Linked DNA regions of Struthio camelus. The protein of the gene in region 1 interacts with the protein of each later gene in a pairwise test. Links are inferred from orthologs where the notes say so. Each region holds a gene or a part of one and is shown in the gene's direction. Other genes may lie near its edges.

Evidence for each region.
Region 2: the proteins of TNPO2 (region 1) and APIP interact in binary tests that used the Homo sapiens proteins (3 or more experiments, as listed by UniProt). The two-hybrid records come from large-scale screens. The link is inferred for Struthio camelus from reciprocal best matches to the Homo sapiens genes TNPO2 and APIP.

The regions. Positions count from the first base shown.
Region 1 is NC_090972.1:4,318,619-4,328,832, forward strand, and holds the start of TNPO2 (transportin-2), read left to right. Parts: upstream 1-6,138; 5' UTR 6,139-6,347; intron 6,348-7,056; exon of another isoform or gene 7,057-7,076; intron 7,077-7,217; exon of another isoform or gene 7,218-7,329; intron 7,330-7,727; exon of another isoform or gene 7,728-7,749; intron 7,750-7,881; 5' UTR 7,882-7,895; coding exon 7,896-7,994; intron 7,995-8,349; coding exon 8,350-8,425; intron 8,426-8,538; coding exon 8,539-8,688; intron 8,689-8,801; coding exon 8,802-8,908; intron 8,909-8,985; coding exon 8,986-9,119; intron 9,120-9,603; coding exon 9,604-9,685; intron 9,686-9,810; coding exon 9,811-9,933; intron 9,934-10,060; coding exon 10,061-10,179; intron 10,180-10,214. Other genes in the region: TRIR (telomerase RNA component interacting RNase), read left to right, coding at 949-1,026, 1,435-1,542; RING finger protein 11, read right to left, coding at 3,945-4,116, 4,379-4,548, 5,528-5,647. UniProt on the Homo sapiens protein: Probably functions in nuclear protein import as nuclear transport receptor. Serves as receptor for nuclear localization signals (NLS) in cargo substrates.
Region 2 is NC_090946.1:34,125,540-34,135,239, reverse strand, and holds the start of APIP (methylthioribulose-1-phosphate dehydratase), read left to right. Parts: upstream 1-5,188; 5' UTR 5,189-5,507; coding exon 5,508-5,540; intron 5,541-6,046; exon of another isoform or gene 6,047-6,243; intron 6,244-9,700. Other genes in the region: PDHX (pyruvate dehydrogenase protein X component, mitochondrial), read right to left, coding at 4,890-5,031. UniProt on the Homo sapiens protein: Catalyzes the dehydration of methylthioribulose-1-phosphate (MTRu-1-P) into 2,3-diketo-5-methylthiopentyl-1-phosphate (DK-MTP-1-P).

The DNA.
Region 1 (10,214 bases):
CTCACCGGCCCCGGTGATGCCGTTGCTTCTCCCCCCTGCTCACGCCCGGGGTCGCTCTGGGTGGGGGGCGCTTTTTCCCCTTAACGGCAGCCACCCTCTGGGCTCAGGTAGGCGGAAGAGCTTCACCGGACGATTCCGCTCCCCCGACGTGAGTATCGGCCCCGGTTTCACCGGCAGAGCGTGCCGGGAGCCGGGCTCAGGTCCGCTGAGGCCGTTGCTCGCCGGCCCTTTGGGGAGCCGCGTTGTTGTGTGCGGTCCCGGGGCGCCCCGGAGCCTGCGGCCAGCGGTCGGGGTGCCAGGAGACCCCCGTGAGCCGAACCGAGCGGGTTCGCGTCTCCGAGCGTGCCTGGATTGGGCTGCGCCGGGAAGGGGCGCGTCCCTATGGGCTGAATTTTAGGGTTTGGCTGCTTCAGGCTTTGACAAACGGTCCCCTCCCTCCCTGACCTGCTGCTTGGCGGCTTCCAATCCCCTGGGAGCAGCACCAGCGGAGGCCGAACAGAGGCGAGCCGCCGGCTGGCGTAGCCCTCCGCTGCCCGGGGCGCCTCGGCCGCGGTCACTCGCCGCAGCGCCTGCGTTCGCCTCCTTGTTAAACCGCGTCCAAAGCGCCTCGATGCCGTAGTAAAGTCCCCTGCTGTCGAGGAATCGCAGCAGCTCCGACGCGCTGATCCGCTCCCGCTCCTTCCCAGCGCTGTCGCGGCGTAGAAAGCCGGCCGCTACCCTCGGGGCGCCGGCCGTCGCGGCGAGCCAGGTCCGCCGCCGAAACCGCTAAACTGGCCGTTTAGCGACGAGCGGGTTCCCCGCGGGGGCCGCGGCGGGAGGAGCCGGCCCGCGGCGCTGCGACGGACCATCTAACGGAAGGCCTCCCTGTTCCGTTGTATAGTGGGCAGCGTTGTCCCCGCAGCGCCCGCGGCTCGGGTAACGGTTGCAGTCTTCTGTCCCTTCACCCAGGTGGGCAGGCGGAGAGGTGGGAACAAGCTAGCCCTGAAGACGGGAGTGGTAGCCAAGAAGCAAAAGACCGAAGAGGAGGTAGGTAGCCCTGGGACGGGACGGGGGGGGCATGGGGGCTCCCTGCCTCCTCCCTGGGGGCGGTTTTGGGTCCGCAGCTGCTTTTCTGCCCCCTCGCTCTTTCGGTGAGCGGCTAGGCCTAGCGGGAAAACGGGGGCGAGGGGCGCTGCCGGCCCCTCGCTGCCTCCTGCGGTGCTGCCCGTCGCTGTGGGCAGAGCCGGTTTGCAGCTTGCGGCCATCGCGAGCGCCCCGGGGGAGCCCGTTTGTCCGAATTTGGGGGTTTCCTTCACTGCCAGGATCCTGCAAGCACGAATCCCCTCGGGGGAGCGGGGCGTTGCCTGCCACAACCCCTCTTCCAGACTCGCCTCTTATCACCGGTGTTGTTTGTTCTTCCTTTGTTATTTTTTCCCTCCCCTCCCTCCTCTGCAGGTTTTGACAAGTAAAGGAGACGCCTGGGCCAAGTACATGGCAGAAGTGAAAAAATACAAAGCCCATCAGTGCAGCGACGACGACAAAACCAGGCCCCTGGTGAAATAGCCTCTCTCCCGGTGCCCGCACGGACTGTTTCCCTGTTGTACATACTTATTTAAACAGCGGAGGAGGCTAGCGGCTCGCACAGACATCCACCAAGTGCTCCCAGCGGCTTGTTCGAGGTGTTTTTATATGTAAAAAAAATATATATATATCTCTCTCTCTCTTTCTCTCTGTCACACGCGCACCTGGGCACGCGGGGACATCGCCAAGTCTCTTATTCACTGACTTAACCCTTCTTTCGTTCTGCTGGGAAATAAGGACTCTGGACTGGCCGTAGCTCTTTGTAGCGGGAACGCGCCTGTGGGGGCCGCGCGCCCGCCCGCCGGCCGGAGCCACCCCCGTCGCCCCGCTCGCTTCCGCGTCGGTAACTCCGAGATTCCCGTGGCTTTGCCTCGCCGCTTGTCTTCCCGCCGCGTGCCCAGATTTCCCGCCCGGTTTGGTCTCTTCCCGTTCCGCCTCCGTTTCCGCGAGTAGAAACCGTAGCTGGCGGGACAGAAACGCTCCCGCCTGGCTGTCGCGAAGGGTAAAAACTCGTCGGCGAGGGCGCCGCTGTTGCATTGAGTCATTAAAGACCTCGGATATTTCGAAGCCGCTAACCGCTTCCTGGGTGTTCTTGGCGCGGGGGCTGCGTCCCGGTGGAGCTTTTGCCCTCCCCGCTGCCTTTGTTGCCCGGCCTCACCGCTGTACTCCGAGGGATTTCTTTTTTCCCTCCCATGTAGGTTCCTCCGTGGGGTAACAGCGACATTACAGCGAGCTCCGGCTGTTTATTTTTTCCCCTTCCCCCAGGGGCTCAGGCTCTCCCGAAGTCACTCGGTGCTTTCGGATAACCGGAGGCTTCGGCAATATCCACTCGCGAAGGCGGCGGGGGGGGCTGCCCGCCCTCGGCATCGCTCACCGGGCAGGAGGGAACAAGAAGAGCTTTAAATCCGCCCTGTGCCGAGGTTTCTACCTCCGTCCGGGTGCCCTTGTCCTGTTTTTTTCTCCCCCAGGCGGCTCCGGGAGGGTGCGGATGAGAGCTGTTGCCGCTGCCTGCGCCTCCGCGTCCCTTCCGGTCGGCAGGGAGAGCTGCCGGAGGAGGTGGAACAGGTCGCCCGGAGCCCGGACTGACCCTGCTTCCCCGATCCTGCAGCCCCTTTTATTCTGAAAATCCTTCACAAATGTTTAAACGTTCTGGCTCTTTTCCTTTTTGAATAAAAATTCTCTTGCGAACAGAGGTGTCTTGCTGTGTCTGTTCACCCTCCCCAGCTGCTCTTGCACCTTCCTCCCGGGGAAGGATTTCACGCCAGGCCGCGGCTCTTCCTTTTGTTGTTGTTGTTTTTTTTTTTAATTTTCCTTTGGAGCCGCAGGGGGAGCAGGATGCGCTGTACCCCCCCCCCAGCCCTGCTTCCCCCCACCCTGCCGCACCCGGACACGCGGAGCTAGGCCATACGGTTTATTCGTTCCATCCAAACGGGCCGCGCGCCCCCCTCCCGCTGCCCGCCCAGCGCCGGGGCGGGACGGCATCGCGGCGGGCCGAGCACTTCCGCGCCTCGAAGCCGGCGAGGCGCCGGCGGCCCCCGCCCCGGGCCAGCGAGCCGGGCAGGAGGGAGAGACCCGAAACGGGGAGGGAGGGGGATGCGGAGGCGGTAGGAGCCCCCCTGGGCCGGCCACCAGCTCTCAGGAACGTCCTGGAGAGTCCGATGAGGCGCTCGGGGCCGGAAAATGGAGCCCGGTCCCGCTTCCGACCCTGTCGGTGGGTGTGTTGAAACCCGCCGCTGAACCGGGCTCGGCTCCGTTCCTATAAAACACCCGGGGAAGGGAATGTCTCGGGCGGGAACGTTAAAACGAAGCCGTAGCTGACGGAGGGGGAGAAGTGGGGCAGCGAGGGCCGCGCGGCCTCCTTTTCCCCAAGCCGAGAGGATCCGGCATCCCCAGGAGCCCGGATAAATCGTTCTCGGTGGGATTGCTCCGAATTACAGGGAATGCCGGGCTCCTCCGCTTTCAATCGCAGCTCTGGCATCAGGCACAGCGGCCACCAGCTCCAGGCACCCATCAAAGCAGCTGCTAAAGGACTATTTAAAGCAAAAAAAAAAAGAGGAGCAACAACTCCTTAAAAACAGGGCAGGGGCTTCTGCTCCTCTCCAAGAAACCAGCCCTCCGGGATCCGGCCTCTCTGCGGGCCGCCTCCGGCTCCGAGGGCTGCTCCGCTCCTCCGGCGGGAGCGAGGGCTGCTCCCAAAGGCCGAGACGGGGCCGGGTGACGCAGGGCATCTTCGGAGCCGCGCCGACTCTTCCCGAAAGGCCCGGAGGAGGCAGCCTTTCACCGGGAAACTCGGAGTCTTTGGTGCATCCTCTTAGCGTGCAAAAAAAGGGGGAGAACCGGAGCCCGAGGAGCCCCCTCCGCGGCCCCGGCCTCGCCGCGGCAGCTCAGTTAGTCTCGTAGGAGGAGAGCAGGGCGGCGTCGACGGGCTCCATGCAGGAGGGGCAGGTGAAGGAGCGCATGAGCCAGTCGTCGATGCAGGCCACGTGGTAGACGTGCAGGCAGGGCAGGAACCGCACCGGGTCTCCGTAGGTGAACTCCAGCATGCAGATCACGCACCTGCGGGGTGGCGGAAAAGGCAGGGAAGTGAAACCTGGCTTTTGGGCGCTGCCGGCAGCTCCCCGAGGCGGCGATCAAGCCTTTCGGGGGGCTGCAGGCTGAGAAATCGGCACTCCGCCGTCCCTCCTGCCCTTAAAATCCCCGGGGAAACGGAAACGGGGATGAGGTGGGCATGGCAAAGGCAGGAACAGCCTCCGGGAGGGGATGGGGGTTCCCCGAGCTCGAACCCCGCCGCCCCAGCCGGCGTTTTGGGGGGACTCACTCCTTCGTTTTCTTCTCGGAGGGCTCGGCGCCGGGGTCGAAGAGGCCGCGGGGCAGGTGCTGGATGAGGCCGATGCGCTGGGCGATGCGGACCTGCTCGTCCTCCGTGAGCTGGGTGGCCAAGCGGCGCTGGCTGGGCGTGGGGTGGTACACGGGCACCGGCTCGCGCTCCTGCGGGGCGACGGCAACCGCCGGCCTTGGGGAGCGCCGACGGACCCCCAAACCTGCCTCCCCCCTGCTCCTGGGGGGGGGGCTTGGGGGGACCCTCAACCCTCGGCAGGGCACCCAATTCCCTCCTACAGTGCCCGCTCCCAGTGCTCCCAGGGCGCCCTGAGCCCCCCAGTTCCCCCTCCCCGTGCTCCTAGTTCCTCCCTGCTCCTCCCTTTTCCCCCTCCAGTGCTCCCAGTCCCCCCCAGGGCACCCTGATCCCCCCAGTTCCTCCTTCCGGGGCTCCCAATTTCTCCCCATTCCCCCAGTTTCACCATCCCAGTGCTCCCAGTCACCCCCAGTGCACCCTGATTTCCCTCCCTAGTGCTCCCAGATCCTCGAGGCAACTCTGACGTCCCCCAGTTTCCCCTTCCCAGTGCTCCCAGTTACCCCCAGTGCTCCCTGATCCCCCAAGTTCCCCCTCCCAGTGCTCCCAGTTACCCCCAGTGCACCCTGATTTCCCTCCCTAGTGTTCCCAGATCCTCGAGGCAACTCCGACGTCCCCCAGTTTCCCCTTCCCAGTGCTCCCAGTTACCCCCAGTGCTCCCTGATCCCCCAAGTTCCCCCTCCCAGTGCTCCCAGTTACCCCCAGTGCACCCTGATTTCCCTCCCTAGTGCTCCCAGACCCCCGAGGCAACTCCGACGCCCCCCAGTTTCCCCTTCTCAGTGCTCCCAGTTACCCCCAGTTCACCCCGATCCCCCCTCAGTGCTCCAGGCCCCGCAGTGCGCCCCGCTCCCCTCCCCAGTTCCCTCTCCCAGTGCTCCCAGTTACCCCCAGTGCGCCCCTGCTCCCCCTTCCCAGTGCTGCCAGGCCCCCAGCGCACCCCCCACTCCCCCCCGCCCCCAGTTCCACCTCCCAGCGCTCCCAGTTCGTCCCGCTCCCCCCGTGTCCCCCTCCCAGTACTCCCAGTGCCCCCTCCCAGTGCTCCCAGTCCCTCCGGACCTGGTAGGGCGGCGGGGCCGGGGGAGGCGGCGGGTCCCCGGGCCCCAGGCTGGCTCCGTCCACGGAGTCGTTGAGCAGCGAGAGGTCGTCGGCCGCCTGCGAGGACAGGCAGTTCCCCATCCCCGGGACCGGGATCGGGACCGAGACCGGGGCCGGGCCGGGACCGGGCCGGGCCGGGCCGGGCTCTGCCACCCCCTCCCGGCGGTGGTACCGCCCGCAGCGCGAGGCACGCCGGGAAATGCAGTCCGGCGCGGAGGGACTCCGCGCATGCGCAGAGCTGCGTCGCTGCCATTATTCCCCCCCTTTCTCCCGGCGATGGTACCGCCCGCGCCGCGGGGCGCGTCGGGAAATGGAGTCCGGCGCGCAGGGACTCCGCGCATGCGCGGGGAGGGCGCGGGAACGGGCGGGGAGGCGGGAAGAGGCCTTGAGGCCGCGGGACGCCGGTTCCCGGAGCTCCACCCCCGCCCTCCCGCCGAGCGGGGAGGGGGCGTGGCCTCTCCTAACCCCGCCCAGTCACCACCGCGCGCGCCGCGCCCCCCCCCCCCCACTTACCCCGGCCCACGTGACGCGGCGCCGTCCTTTCCGCGCGCGCTCACGTGGTGCCCGCGGAGGGCGGCGGACGGTGGCCGGCGGGGGTCAGCGCCCGCGTGCCGCGCTCGCCTCCCTCCCTCCCTTTCCCCCCCCCCCCAACCTCTCCCCCGCGGGCAGCGCCCGGTGCCGCCGCGGGAGCGCGAGGCCGCCCCGAGCCCCCTCCCGCCTCCTCCTCCCCCCCTCCCCGGTCCGCCCCCCCCCCTCCTCCTCCTCCTCCTCCTTCAGGCAGGTACCGGCCCGGCGCGGCCCCGGGCAGCGTGGCGGGGCCTGGCGAGCGCGGGCGGCCCGGCGGGAGCGGAGCGGGGGGGGGATTGGGTGGATTTGGGGGGGGGGGGGACAAAGTGGGGGCCGGAGGGGTAAAGTGGTGTTAGAGAGGGCAAATTGGGGGCTGGGGGGGGAGGAATTGGGGGCTGAGGAGGCAAAATGGGGTCTGGATTGGGATAAAGTGGGGGCAGGAGGAGCGAATTGGGGTCTGGGGGGGCAAAATGGGGTCTGGGGGTGTGAACTGGGGTCTGGGGGGAGAATTGGGATCTGGGAGGGCAAAATGGGCTCTGGGAGGGAGAATTAGGGGTCTGGGGGAAGAATTGGGGCCTGGGAGGGCAAAATGGGGTCTGGATGGGGATAAAGTGGGGGGCAGGAGGAGCGAATTGGGGTCTGGGGGGAAATTGGGGTCTGGATGGAGATAAAGCGGGCAGGAGGAGTGAACTGGGGTCTGGGGGGAAAATTGGGATCTGGGAGGGCAAAATAGGGTCTGGGGGGGAGAATTAGGAGTCTGGGGGGGAGAATTGGGGTCTGGGGAGGGCAAAATGGGGTCTGGGAGGGGAGAATTGGGGTCTAGGGGGAAGAATTGGGGTTTGGGAGGGCAAAATGGGGTCTGGGGGGAGAATTGGAGTCTGAGGGGGAAATTGGGGTCTGGGGAGGAGAATTGGGATCTGGAGCAGCAAAATAGGAGCAGGAGGTACAAACTGGGGGTTGGGGGGTTGTGCCGGGGGGGTGGGTTGTGCAATAGGAGGGGCTGTAGTGGGGGTGGATTGAGGAGGAGGAGTGCTGCCGGTGGCAAATTTTGGGGGGGGGGGCTGCCGTTGGGTGAGGGGGTTGCAGTGGCGAGAGGGTTGAACGCGTGTGTGATGGGGGGGTTATGGCGGGGGGGGCAGTTTCCGGGTGAGGGAGCACCCGGAGATGCCGGGATGGCGGCGGGACGGGACACGCGGGTGAGCGAGGCGCCGCTGCCGGCGGCCGTGAGGGAATTACAGCCCCGGGGGGGGGGCAGTTACAGGGGGGGTGATCTGCCCCCCTCCCTGCCCGGTGCAGGCTGCAGCCGCCCCCACGTGTCCGTGCCCCCCCCCCCCCCCCGGCAGGGATTTCCTCTCCCCTCCGAGCCACCCCGCGGCCCCGCTCCATGTGCTGCAGCGTGGGGCCCCCTCCCGACCCCCCTTCCTGGGGGTCACGCTCGCAGCGGGGACGTCCCCTCCGGTCCCAGCCCCGCTGCTGCCACCCCCCCCCCCACCCCCAGGACGTGCTCCCGACTCCCTCGGGGTGGGTTTGGGGAGGGAGGTGTGCTTCGCCTCTCCGCTCCGGTTGACTGCTTCCCAGCCCCCCAAATTTGCAGCGATTCGGGACCCCGAAACAAGGTGGCAGCGGCCGGCGGGATCCGGCTGCGGCTTCGAGCCGCGCTCGGCTGCCCCGCGAGGGTTTTGTGCCGTTCGCGTCCCCCCGCCTGCAGCCCAGCGACGCTGATCTCTCCGTGTCCCCCCCCTTTCCAGGAAAGACCCCCACCATGGACTGGCAGCCGGACGAGCAGGGCCTCCAGCAGGTCCTGCAGCTGCTGAAGGACTCGCAGTCGCCCAACACGGCCACGCAGCGCATCGTGCAGGACGTATCCTTGCGGTGGGGGCGGCCGGGGCTCTCCCGCCTCCCCAGTCCCTGCCGGGGAGGGCCGGGGGCTCCGTCGCTCACCCATTGGGGCTGGCACGGGGGGAAACGCGAGCCGGGTCCGTCTCTAGAACCAGCTTGACGCGTTGGCTGGAGCTGGGTGAAGGGGAGGCTCCAGGGGGATTAAAAACCTTCTGAGCTCATGGGGTCGGCAGCTAGATGGAGGCAGGATCGGTCTGGAGGAGGTCGAGCTGGGAAACGGGGCTTTTTCGGCTCTTCAGCCAGGGCCGAGCCTGCGTTTGGCTGCTCCGGGACAGCATCCCCTTCCCAATCCCCTTCCTTAACAGCCCCGGGGGCAGAAACTGAAGCAACTGAACCAATTCCCCGACTTCAACAACTACCTGATCTTCGTGCTGACGCGGCTGAAGTCGGAAGGTGGGTCTGCGGCCGGGGTGGGGGGGTTTCCTGGCTGCCCCGAGGTGTTGGCCGGGAGCTGAGCCCGCGCGTGCCGGGACCGGCACCTCCCCGGGATAACGCGTGCCTCCTAGATGAGCCCACGCGGTCGCTGAGCGGCCTCATCCTGAAGAACAACGTCAAGGCGCACTACCAAAGCTTCCCCCAGCCCGTGGCCGAGTTCATCAAGCAGGAGTGTCTCAACAACATCGGCGACGCGTCCTCCCTCATCCGGGCCACCATCGGTGAGAGGGGGCAGGGGATGCCCTCGGGGCGGCTGCCGAGTGGGGAAACGGCTTGGGATGGAGCCCCCGCCCTTACCCCGGTCCCGGCTCACGCGGCCCCTCCGGCCCCGCAGGCATCCTCATCACCACCATCGCCTCCAAGGGGGAGCTGCAGATGTGGCCGGAGCTGCTGCCCCAGCTCTGCAACCTGCTCAACTCGGAGGATTACAACACGTGCGAGGTGAGCGGGGGGCCGCGGCGGCGCGGGGCGGGGTGGGGGGGCCCGCGACCCGCCGCTGACGCCCCTCTGGCGCGCAGGGGGCGTTCGGGGCCCTGCAGAAGATCTGCGAGGACTCGTCCGAGCTCCTGGACAGCGACGCGCTCAACCGGCCCCTCAACGTCATGATCCCCAAGTTCCTCCAGTTCTTCAAGCACTGCAGCCCCAAGATCAGGTGGGGAGGGGGCTGGGGGGGGCGTCGCGTGGCTCTTAACGAATTTGGGTGGGAAGGGAGCACCTCTGTGTCACGGTTTTTGTCCCCCCACTGGCATCCTAATGGCTCCTTGTTCTTGTCCTCAACCCCCCCAAGCGTGCTCCAGCTCCATCCGTGCCCCCGATAAGCAGTGGGACATGGCAATTTGAACCGCCACCAGGCTGGGCAGCTCCAGCTCAGCCTGTCCCTGTGTCCCCGGCCGTCCCGCTGGGACTCACTCATGTGTCCCCAGGTCTCCCGCAGTCCTTCCCGCTCCGTACCGGGGCTGGGGGTTATTCCAGCCCAGGCACAAATTTCTGTTTGCCTTTTGTGAGTTAATTCAGGGGCCGATGGGGTCCAAGAGGCGCAAACAGGCTGGGCTGCTCCCCTTTCTCGCCCGGCATCGTTAGCTAACGAGCCTGTCAGAGCCCCCCACAGTCTGTCTTCTCCCCGACCCGCGGCTCAGGTCCCACGCGATCGCCTGCGTCAACCAGTTCATCATGGACCGGGCTCAGGCGCTGATGGAGAACATCGACACCTTCATCGAGGTGAGCGGCCGGGGAGAAACGCTTCCCCGCCCCGGTTCAGGATGGTCCTGCTGGCCGAGCTGCCCGAGGGAGGACCGTGGGCCGCCCCGGGTGACTCGGGGCTCTCGGTGTCCCCCGCCTCGCAGCACCTCTTTGCGCTGGCGGTGGACGAGGACCCCGAGGTGCGGAAGAACGTGTGCCGAGCCCTGGTGATGCTGCTGGAGGTCCGCATCGACCGCCTCATCCCCCACATGCACAGCATCATCCAGGTAAGGGCCTGGCTCGTGCCCGCTCCGGCGGAGCCGCTTCCCGGTCGTTCCCCCCTCCCCTCGTTGCTGGGGGTCCGGTTTTGGAGGGGGAAGGGGCTGACGTCTCTCCCCGGCGCCCTCCCGGCAGTACATGCTGCAGCGGACGCAGGACAGCGACGAGAACGTGGCGCTGGAGGCCTGCGAGTTCTGGCTGACTCTGGCCGAGCAGCCCATCTGCAAGGAGGTGCTGACGTCCCACCTGATGCAGTGAGTACCCCCGGGCGGCCCCATCTTGTCCCCCC
Region 2 (9,700 bases), on another chromosome or scaffold:
ATAATGCACTTGCACCATCTGCAGGTTTGACAAAACAGAGATGTCACAGGATATATCTACCAGCAACACTAACACTTTTTGCCCCCAGCTGGGCTGTAATGTTGCAATTACCAATTACAAGGGAAAAGAGCTGTTATTTTTGTTTAGCAGAGCTTATTTTGAATTAATCTGCTTTTGCTTTAGGATCCAGCTTAAGAAATCTTCAAATGCCATATTATAAAAGGAAAATCCTTTAAATGAAAAAAACATAGTCAAACAATGTAATATCAAAACCCTAGACTGATTTTATATGCTGAAGATACTGTTTATAGGCAAATCCACACCTCTGGCTGGTCTGTAGGCATGTATTTAGGCAAAAGGTGCAGGAAGAACAATAATTAAGCATCAGAACACAACTAAAGAGAAGCTGTTTTACTCAGTATTCCTCCTTTGTCTTCCTGAAAGGGCCCGCACACCTGTGATGCCCAAGCTGAACTGCAGCAAGAAAGTCTTCTAGTGAGACACTGAGGTATCAGATGTCACAGTATCGCCACCCTCCTTTCATATAACTGAAAGTGCATTCACCATAAGAAAACATTGGCATTCTCCATCAAATGATGAGGTCAAAAGCCTTAGTCACATAACAGGACAGCATCAGAAAATCCCCAAGGAAGAGGGCAGCAAGAAGTAGACTATTTATTTTTATGGGCCAGATCCAATCTGCAGGCTAGCCCTGAACAAAAGCTATCTGGTCACCAATTGCTGATAGCCTACTGTATCTCAGATAAATAAAGAAGCATTCAAAAATAAATAATGAAACTAAGCTGATTTGCTAATCCTCCATTTTCAGCAGAGGCTCTGGGCCAAATCACATTCCCAACAAAACTTTTTTGTAAGTAGTGGCTGTGCTAGAAGAAAAATCACATCCTTTGGTTCCACATGAGTGTGTCTCTTTTAATCCATTTATAAATGAACAAAACCTTCATGACCTAATCCACAAAGACTTTTTATTTGCAGTTTTTATTTGTTAATGGATTCAAATTTTCAAAAGACATTGGGCACCTATATGCTTTATGCCTTTGATTCACTAATTGTTTACTAAGAACATCATCAGTCAGCAAAGCAAGCAACCTCTCAAGTGGTAGAGCTGGAATAAAATTTCCCTTCCTCTAACACAACATTGGCCATCTAGGCACACCAGCTAAAAGGCAAGGATCTGAAAAACATCAGGTAGGTCAAAATTGAAGTTAACCACAGGTTATGCTGTTAATAGCATTTCATTTAGAAATTTTTTCACCTTTCCTGCCCTGTTCCTGTAGCGTATCTGTCTGTACTTCAGTTCTTATCTCATACAGTTACCTTCCTTCCAATTATTCCCTCTGTCACATAACTAACTGGCAAAGTAAGAGTTCAGTTAGGATATACTCAAAACAGATAACTGAAGTCAAGAAGTGTTCTGATTACACAAAACAACCTTCTCCTCCCACCCCTCCCAAAGAGGGGAGCAGAAAGAGAAGCAAAAAAAAAAAAAAAAACACAGAAAAAAGTAGCACAGCAAAACCAGCTCTGTATGAACCAAAAATGTAAATGGTGGCATTTTCAGAAACAAAACAAAACCAAAAAAAAGAAGAAATAAAATCAATGCTAAAGCAGAACCAGGATAAAGTTTTAATTCTCAAACAAGAAACCAAGAGTGAGCAGTGTCCTAAAGAGCAGTATTTTACCAGAGAAGTTAGGAGTTTTCTACTTCAGTCCCGCATTTTAGAAGCTACAATACACATTTAAGAAACATGACGTCATTCAAATGTATTCCACCTTGAAAAGCAGTGAGGATATTAAGAAGTTCAAAGAAACTCATCCATGAGGAAAGACTGAACAAGCTAAAGCTAGTGCTGAAAAGAAGGGTATACTGAGATCAAAAAGACAATGATTAACAAGTCTCTAAACTACTTTTCAATTTTATCATAAGATGCCTGGAGTTTTATTACATACGGTTAACAAGAACTCACTTCTTTATAAGTGCATTTAAAAAAAAAAAAAGAAAGAGTTCAAGTATTTTATGCTCACTGTAACACCAGTACCTCAAGAAATGCACCAGAATGTTGTTTAATGTTTTACAAGTTGTAACAGCAAATGGAGTTGGGGAAGAAAGGCTCAAATCTCACCTGGCATCCAAAATTCTTCCCATAACTCTTTGAGAGAGAGGAAAATATGCAAGGAGATGATCTGCCTAGCAATTTTCTAAAAACAAACTCCTGGGAATAAAAAATGGTACCTTGAAAGGATGTTGCCCTGACCCCATAGGTTGACTTCTATGTAGTTTTCTAAGCATGCAATGAATAAATTTAAATTCCTTTTCTCCATTTAAAACAAACAGGCAAAAAATACATGAAATAAAGCCTCTGAATCCTTCTCCAACTACTTGAAGCATCACTGGTAGAAGAAAAAGATGATGGAGAATCTCCAAGCACTGGAAAAAAAAAAAAAACCCTTAATTTAGGCTGCCTCCTTCTACTTACGTGCTTAACTATACTTACAATTAAGAAAGTAATCAACTGTTCTCAGTCATAAACATCCTTTTTTTTTTTCTTGGCCTTATCCTCAACAGAATATTTTTTACATTTGAAGATTTATTCTCCCATCAATCTTTTTTACCCTCTGGACTCCAACTACTTCAGTTTTTCCTCACTGATGACATTTTCTTGACCCCTCATAATTCTCGCTCCTCTGTCTGAATTCTGTCCAAGCAGCCCATATCTTTCTTGGATACTTCCCAAACAGGCAGCTGAGGAAAAATTTTGTTTGAGGCATTCCGAGTACAAAGTAGAGTGGAAAGAAGACTACCACATGTCCCCTACATGACACTCCTAGCTTTTCCAACCCAATATAATTTTTGCAGCATGATGATGATACAGGCTTGTGCTTAATTTACAATCTACTGTAAAACCCAGATCTCCCTTGCAACATTATGACTGTCATGTCCTATCCTGTAACAGGCATTTCTTTCTATGCTTTGCACACTACTTTTCTCAGGCTGTTCTACCTAATTTGCTATGATCAATTTAAAGTCTAATCCTGTCCTCAAAATACATTTGCAATCTCTCCCATCTCAGATGCATCTCAAATGGAAGGGAAGTATTCATTCCATTATTTAGGCTTCTAACAAAAATGGCAATTAAAACCCAATTCCAGACATGAGGTCCCTGATGGACCTCATGCAATACATCTTTCCAGTTTTACAGTGAACTATAATTATTCCTTGCCTTCCCAACCACTTTGAGCAACCCTACAGAGACTCCTTGAGGCCATGTTTCTATAGCCTGTTTATGAGAAGTATGTAGGAGACAATGCCAAAGCCCTATGAAAAATCAATCTTTCCCAAACAGACAACGCGGTGCCCCAGTACAAAAGGCTGTCAGACTGGTCTGATAAAAAAAGGTTTTGATAGGCCTTCTCAGTGCTTACAAGTCTGGTTCGTTGGTTAACTGCAATCTCTGAAAAGATTCTTCTCTTCACTGGAGAAGACTTGCATATAATTCCTTCTTTCTTTTATTATAAGATAGTGGAAAAGAACAGAGCAGCTTCAGCTTTGTCGTTCAAAATTGCTCAACTACCATCTGACACAATACTCACCTGCCTAAATGACATCTGACTTAACCGAATAACCTTCTCCCTTCACCTAGTCTAGCACCGACCAATAGTTTTGGGCATTGGTGTAACCTTTTTGTAACGGTTTAATTGAAAAAGGAAAGACTTTGATCTTGTGTACGTTTCCTTGTATAACAAACTAACTCTTCTCTCTTGTACTAATTTATTTATAAAATATTTCTTTACTGCATCTACCAGACAAGAATTACATCATTCTGTGCTGTCACCTTTTCGATTTTATTCCTCCTAGTAATTTGACCAGGGTTTCTGCTTTTTGTTTGCTTGCTTGCTTCCTTTCAAAATTACTGATGAGTTATAACTTCTTCCAAATTGACCATTTCTTATGTTTTCTTTTCTTCTTCTATTACATGAAGTCCTCCTTTTCCACATGATTTTTCACATCAGTTAGAGTAAAAAAAGTAGTATCTTTTTCTAAAAATTACTCAATTTTTTTTAAAGCCTAGATGCTATAGTCTTTAATCCTGTTGTCCTAGATGTCATATGGAAATATTTGTCCGGGCTCCTAAGATAATTGGAAAATAAATTATTTAAAATAATACCTAAGCTTGCATTCTGTAGAAACAGACAATAAACCTAACTTTGCCAATAAGAAGGGAATTATTCCCAGCAGATTACAAAGGTGGTACCCTTTAGATTGGGCCACCAAACTAACAGAGAACCTGAGTGTGGCAGCCTTCACCTGGTCTTAGTGTCAAGAAGCCTGCTTTGACAATGAAGCAAAATAGCATTTCAGTGTTAAATGCTAATTTGACCCCTTAACATGCACGGTATGTTTTTGGGGGACTTCTATACTCAACTTCACCCTCTGGGAGAGGAAGGACAAAGAAGGAAGAGTATGAAGCTGGGGACAGAGAGCAAAACACTAAAAACAGAATTTGGGAGCTATACAGCAGGAAAAAACCGTAATAGTTGAAAAACTAGCAATTTTTTTCATCAAAAACCAGAGCAACGCTTACCAGATAATCAGCAAAACGCCCTTGTGCTTGTACCTCCAGAGGCTAGGCCAAGCAGCACCCTGCCAAGCTATCCCATTTCCACAGCCTCTTCCCTCTTTTCCAACAGGACTTCGCTGCTAGTTTTCTCTGCTCACTACACCACCAGGCCCACTCGGCCCTGCCGCCCTACACCTCTTTGCCGAAGGCGGCCCTCTCCTCCAGCAGCCCCGGCCCCCCAGCACCACCGACCCTCCCCCCTCAGGCCTGCAGCAGGCCAACGGCGCAGGGCCCAGCCCAGACACTCACCCCGCAGCTCGTAGGTCCCGTGCAGGAACCTCCAGCCTCCTCGAGCGGGGCGAGAGGCGCCAGCGCCCAGAGCCGGCCGCCTGCCCAGCAGCAGCCGCATCACCCCCCTTCCCCCACCGCCCAGCCACAAGGAGGCCGCCATCTTGCTTCCCTTCGCGGCCCGGCCCGGCCCGGCCCCCCTGCGCCGCCGGGGCTGCCCCACTCGCTGCCTGAGCGGAAAGCGCGGCCGGTCGGGCCCGCCTCGGCCGGACGCGCTCGCAAGCGCGCCCCGCTCCGGCCCGCCTGGCGGCCGGCACAGCGGCGAGCCGGGCTGCCCCCCACCAGCGCCGGCCGCGAGCGCTCCGCCACCCGCCGCCTGGCTCCTGACCGCTCTTAGCGCCCCAGCTGCGCGCAGCCGCCCGCCCCCCCGCAGGCCTCTCCCCCGCCGCCCGCCTGGAGGCGAGGCGCCGAGACCCTCTCCGTCCCGGTCAGCCCCGCCGGGCTGAACGCCGCGCGTTACGGCCTGCGCCGGCCGGTGCCCCGCAGCCAGGGGCAGCGGCAGGGACGCGCTCGGCAGGCGCCCGCGCGGCCTCCCGGCCCCGCAGCGCAAGCCCCGAGAGAGGACCCCAGGCGGGCGCTATGGCCGCCGCCAACGGCCGCGACAGCGCGCAGGTAACGAGAGGGCGGGCGCGGCCGTTGGTGGGGGGGGGCGGGTGCCCTGCCGGCCCCGCCGCGCCGAGCCGTGCTGCCGCCGCATCCCCCTCGGGTCAGCGGGCGCTCCAGAGCAGCGGTTGGTGGTCGCCGTGGCTGAGAGTGTTTTTGCAGCCTTTGCCGTTAGCCATGAGAATTATCAAAGCACGGCTTGCTAGGAAAGAGCGAAAGGATCGGTTCAGTCAGGAAAAGAAAACAGAAACTGAGGAGTAAGTGGAGTTATTTTCCCAGTAGGTGAAATACTGTCACAGAGAGGAAAGGGAAGAAGCTCTTCTTTATGTCCATAGTTATTTGGAGAAGAGATAACGAGCTGAAGTGTCAGCAAGCAAGGTTTAGGTTAGGCAATAGGAAAATATTCTAATTTAGGACAGTGAGACGGATTGTCTGAGGAGTTCGTCACTGCCTGTCACGGTGACGTTGTCCTATTTTGAATAGGCTACAATGGGAGTTTCCAAACCTTCTCAGACCTGCGCCAGACTGTTCTCTCTGTGACTCCACCTTCCCTGTCCCCTTCCTCAGCACCGCCGCACCGTTTCGCACCCTTGGCTGCTGCTCCCAGCCGGCCGGCGCAGCCTCCTCGCTTTGGGGTGTGCGAGTCCGGCACCGACGGGAAGCGTTTCTGCGCAGCCAGCAGCCCTCCGTAGCAGGTGCGGCAGGATGCGAGCTGTCCGCCCCTTCAGGGAGGCTGGCCTAAATGCTCGCCTCTCTCTGCTGGGCTTCCAAAGACCAGGAAGAACGATCCTTCAGGGGCCACAAAATCCCAGCGCCCCTTTAAAGTCTTAAGCTCTTACTTTAGACGCTCGAGAACTGCTCGGTAATCTTCAGCTTTAGAGTCAGTGAAGTTCCCGGGGAGGGGGAGGTAGAGAAGAATGACAACAGCATTTTTTTCCTTTATGTTTCAGAAAGACTATCGATAGTCAGTAATAACCTTCTTACCAGTTTTGTTATTTGCTAGCTATTTGTTGCTTTTGTTTTTCATACTCTGTGAGTGCCCCCTTAACGTGGGATCCTGCTGCTCAACATATTTCTCTAGGAAATACCGTTTCGTGGATACAAATGACTAAGCTGAGCAGCACAGCTGCTAATCACTTGTTATATTTAAAAAGTATTAAAGGTTTTAATTGCTGTAACAAATAAAACTTTAAAGGAAAAAAGGCACACAACAAGTGATAATTTTCAATTGGAGGTCTATACTTGCTGTGAAAGTTTATAGTCTGAGGCTTTTACATGGTGTAGGAATCCTGACCACACTGTTTTCCTGTCCCTCCCTTACAATTATTTCTTTTTTTCTTACCTTTAAAAGTCCTTTCTGAATTGTAAAATCTTTATATGGTGTTGAAGGCATTGCAGAAAACAGACGTTCTTAAAGGATCATTATTTTTACTGCTTTTGTTACTTCATCCCTTTCTGTGCCATGTACAGATTTTAAATAGTAATCTACCAGCTTATTAATGGTACCTTTCTCACTTCAAATATATAGTGCAGAACCATTCATTTTTACCACATCAAACTTTTCAGTGTGTAGCTATTCAAAAGAAACCTCACAGGTTAGTGTGAAATAAGAACTGTATGATTTCATCTATGTAGTCTATGCTTATTTCTCAGAAAATGTATTTCTAAGCACTTTGTGAAGGGGAGGTACGTATTTAAAGGCACTGTTTATTTACCATAATATCTTAAACAGTACAACTATATTGTAGTTCAGTTTCATATCTTGTTGAAAACTATCTCTAAAAGTCTTGCAAATGGGCTCATTCTGCAAATAGCCTGGGTCCACCTTGATTTCCATTACATCAGTTTCACACTGTATTGTTACTGTTATTTTAGGTTTTGTAGTATTAGGTGTATGCACTTGAATAAAAAAGGGGAAAAACAGTTTTCTTTGAATAATGACAGTCTTTCTGTAAAAAAGCAATAATAATTTTATCAAAAGATTTGACTTTGACACCAAAAATATGAATTTTAAGTGAATGCTTTCAGTCAGTTACTCTTTTGAAATTTATCAGCAAACTTGTTTTTCAGAAGAATAATTTGATAGCTGGAAAAAGCAGTCTTTTTTTTTTTTTTTTTAAGCTCATGGAAATTTGTGAAGTTTTCCTTAATACCTAATGTGGAAAAATTAGATGAAAATCGTAAAAGCCAGCTAAATTGTTCATATTGGCTGTATCAGAGAACTAGTGGGCCAGATCCTGAGTTAGAGGTATAAAGAGAGAGAAAACCAATGGCATCTGCATTTTAACTTGCACTCATTTTTTAATTGATTTTCTAATTGAGATTTGGCAAAGAATAATCCTGTTGATTTGCCAGCTGCTTTTATATGTATTCGCTCCTAAGCCTATTCCAGGAAATAGCCTCTTTAGTTATTTTAAAACATGTTAAATAAATAGGTTGTGGTTATGAGTAGTATCTGCTGATCCTGGAAGAGTACTGTTAAATACTGAGGGTTGATTTATAATCCTGGGATTCTTCATAAAAATAGTTGGAACTCCTTAATAATATGTGGGTTTTGTATGCTTTTGATGAAAGCAGCTTCTGAATTTGAACTGTAAAAAAAAACCTTTGTAATGATTTTAAAGTGATTAAAAGCAATCATCTTCTCGCATTAATTATTGTCCAGAATCACCAGTGAGGGAAAATATGAAAGAACTGGAGGAATGTCATAATATAGCTTTTTCATATCTATATACATTCAATAAACAATAGCCATGTAAAACTATTTAACATGAGTTTATTCCATCAAAAGTAGAAGGGAGATAATTTTCTTTGAAATGAAAAGTATCAGTGTAGTACATAAGTTAGAAATACACAGTGATGTTATTTTAAATAAAAGACAAAACAAGATATTGTGGGATTCATAATTTTTATAGCAGGCAAATTTATAAAATAATAATTCTGTATAAATAAATTTGAACCACAAAGTGGGGACCTATAATTTACACACACTATGCACTTTTTCATATTTGTAAACATAAGATACATGCACTAATATTCTCAGAATCACAGTACATTTCAGAGGCATTAGTATTTGAGGAACATTTAGCTAGCCAGAATATTACTCCTTCAGTGAAGGAGAACTGAAAAGGAGTGGTTTCATTTTCAGCTGTGTGAATGGGGAGGAGGCTCAGAATGTTTTCACTCTGAATTTAGAAATCTGTTTATTTCACCTGTTTTTTGTTTTGGATTTTTTCTTTTTCATGTACTATTGTGTGTAGCATTTCATTTGTTTTAAGTAATGTGAATTAGTACAGGTTTATGGTGCTTTAAAAATCTAGCTTCTTGCATAGATTTCTAGGAATGCTGCTTAGAGTCTTGTTTCTGACTTTTGGAATGAATCAACAGGTGATTATTTCGTATTATTAAAAGAGACCCTAAAGAGTAGAAACAAAATCAGAATAGTTAGAAATAACATCTGCAGTGAACGTCAGTTCTTCAGAGATAGTAGCTTCAGAAACAAGTGTCACCGAAGAATATGGTACTACACTCTAAGCTGAAGATGGGAGTATTGATCAGGCTTGATACATATATACAAAGAATTATTTGAGAGTTGTCTGCAATAGTAGGGGACTGTATTTGATGTCATAAGAGTTTTTTCCAAACTAGCTTTTCTAAGCAGAAATTCAGCAACTTTTCATGAAAGCAATATAAGAGGGGTACTATGTTCTGCGTAATTGCTGATTTCTGTCACATACCCATGCATGAAACATAAAAACAACTGTATGACCATGATATTACAGGTAGAAATATTTCCCCATGCCAGGCAAATAAATTTATATAAATAAAAATACTGTTCTGTTTTTTTACTGTTTGATTCATTATTTGATGGATGCAGTTGTATCAGGGTCTTTGTGAAAACACATCTGATTTTTATTCTTACACTGGTAAACAGTGGGGACTTTGGTTTGGTTTTTATTGTCTAAAGTAAGCTAAAAGAATTACTGAAAACAACATGCAAACGTGTAAATTCGAGAATACAACATTAATTAAACTATTATCTTGCAGTTGTCTCTGTATATATCAGTTATATGTCTCATGTAAGTGGTTCCAACATTCAAAATTTTTGATTTTCCGGTGTAAACCTTATCAAAAGCTGCTGATATATGCTACTATTATTTTTACATGTT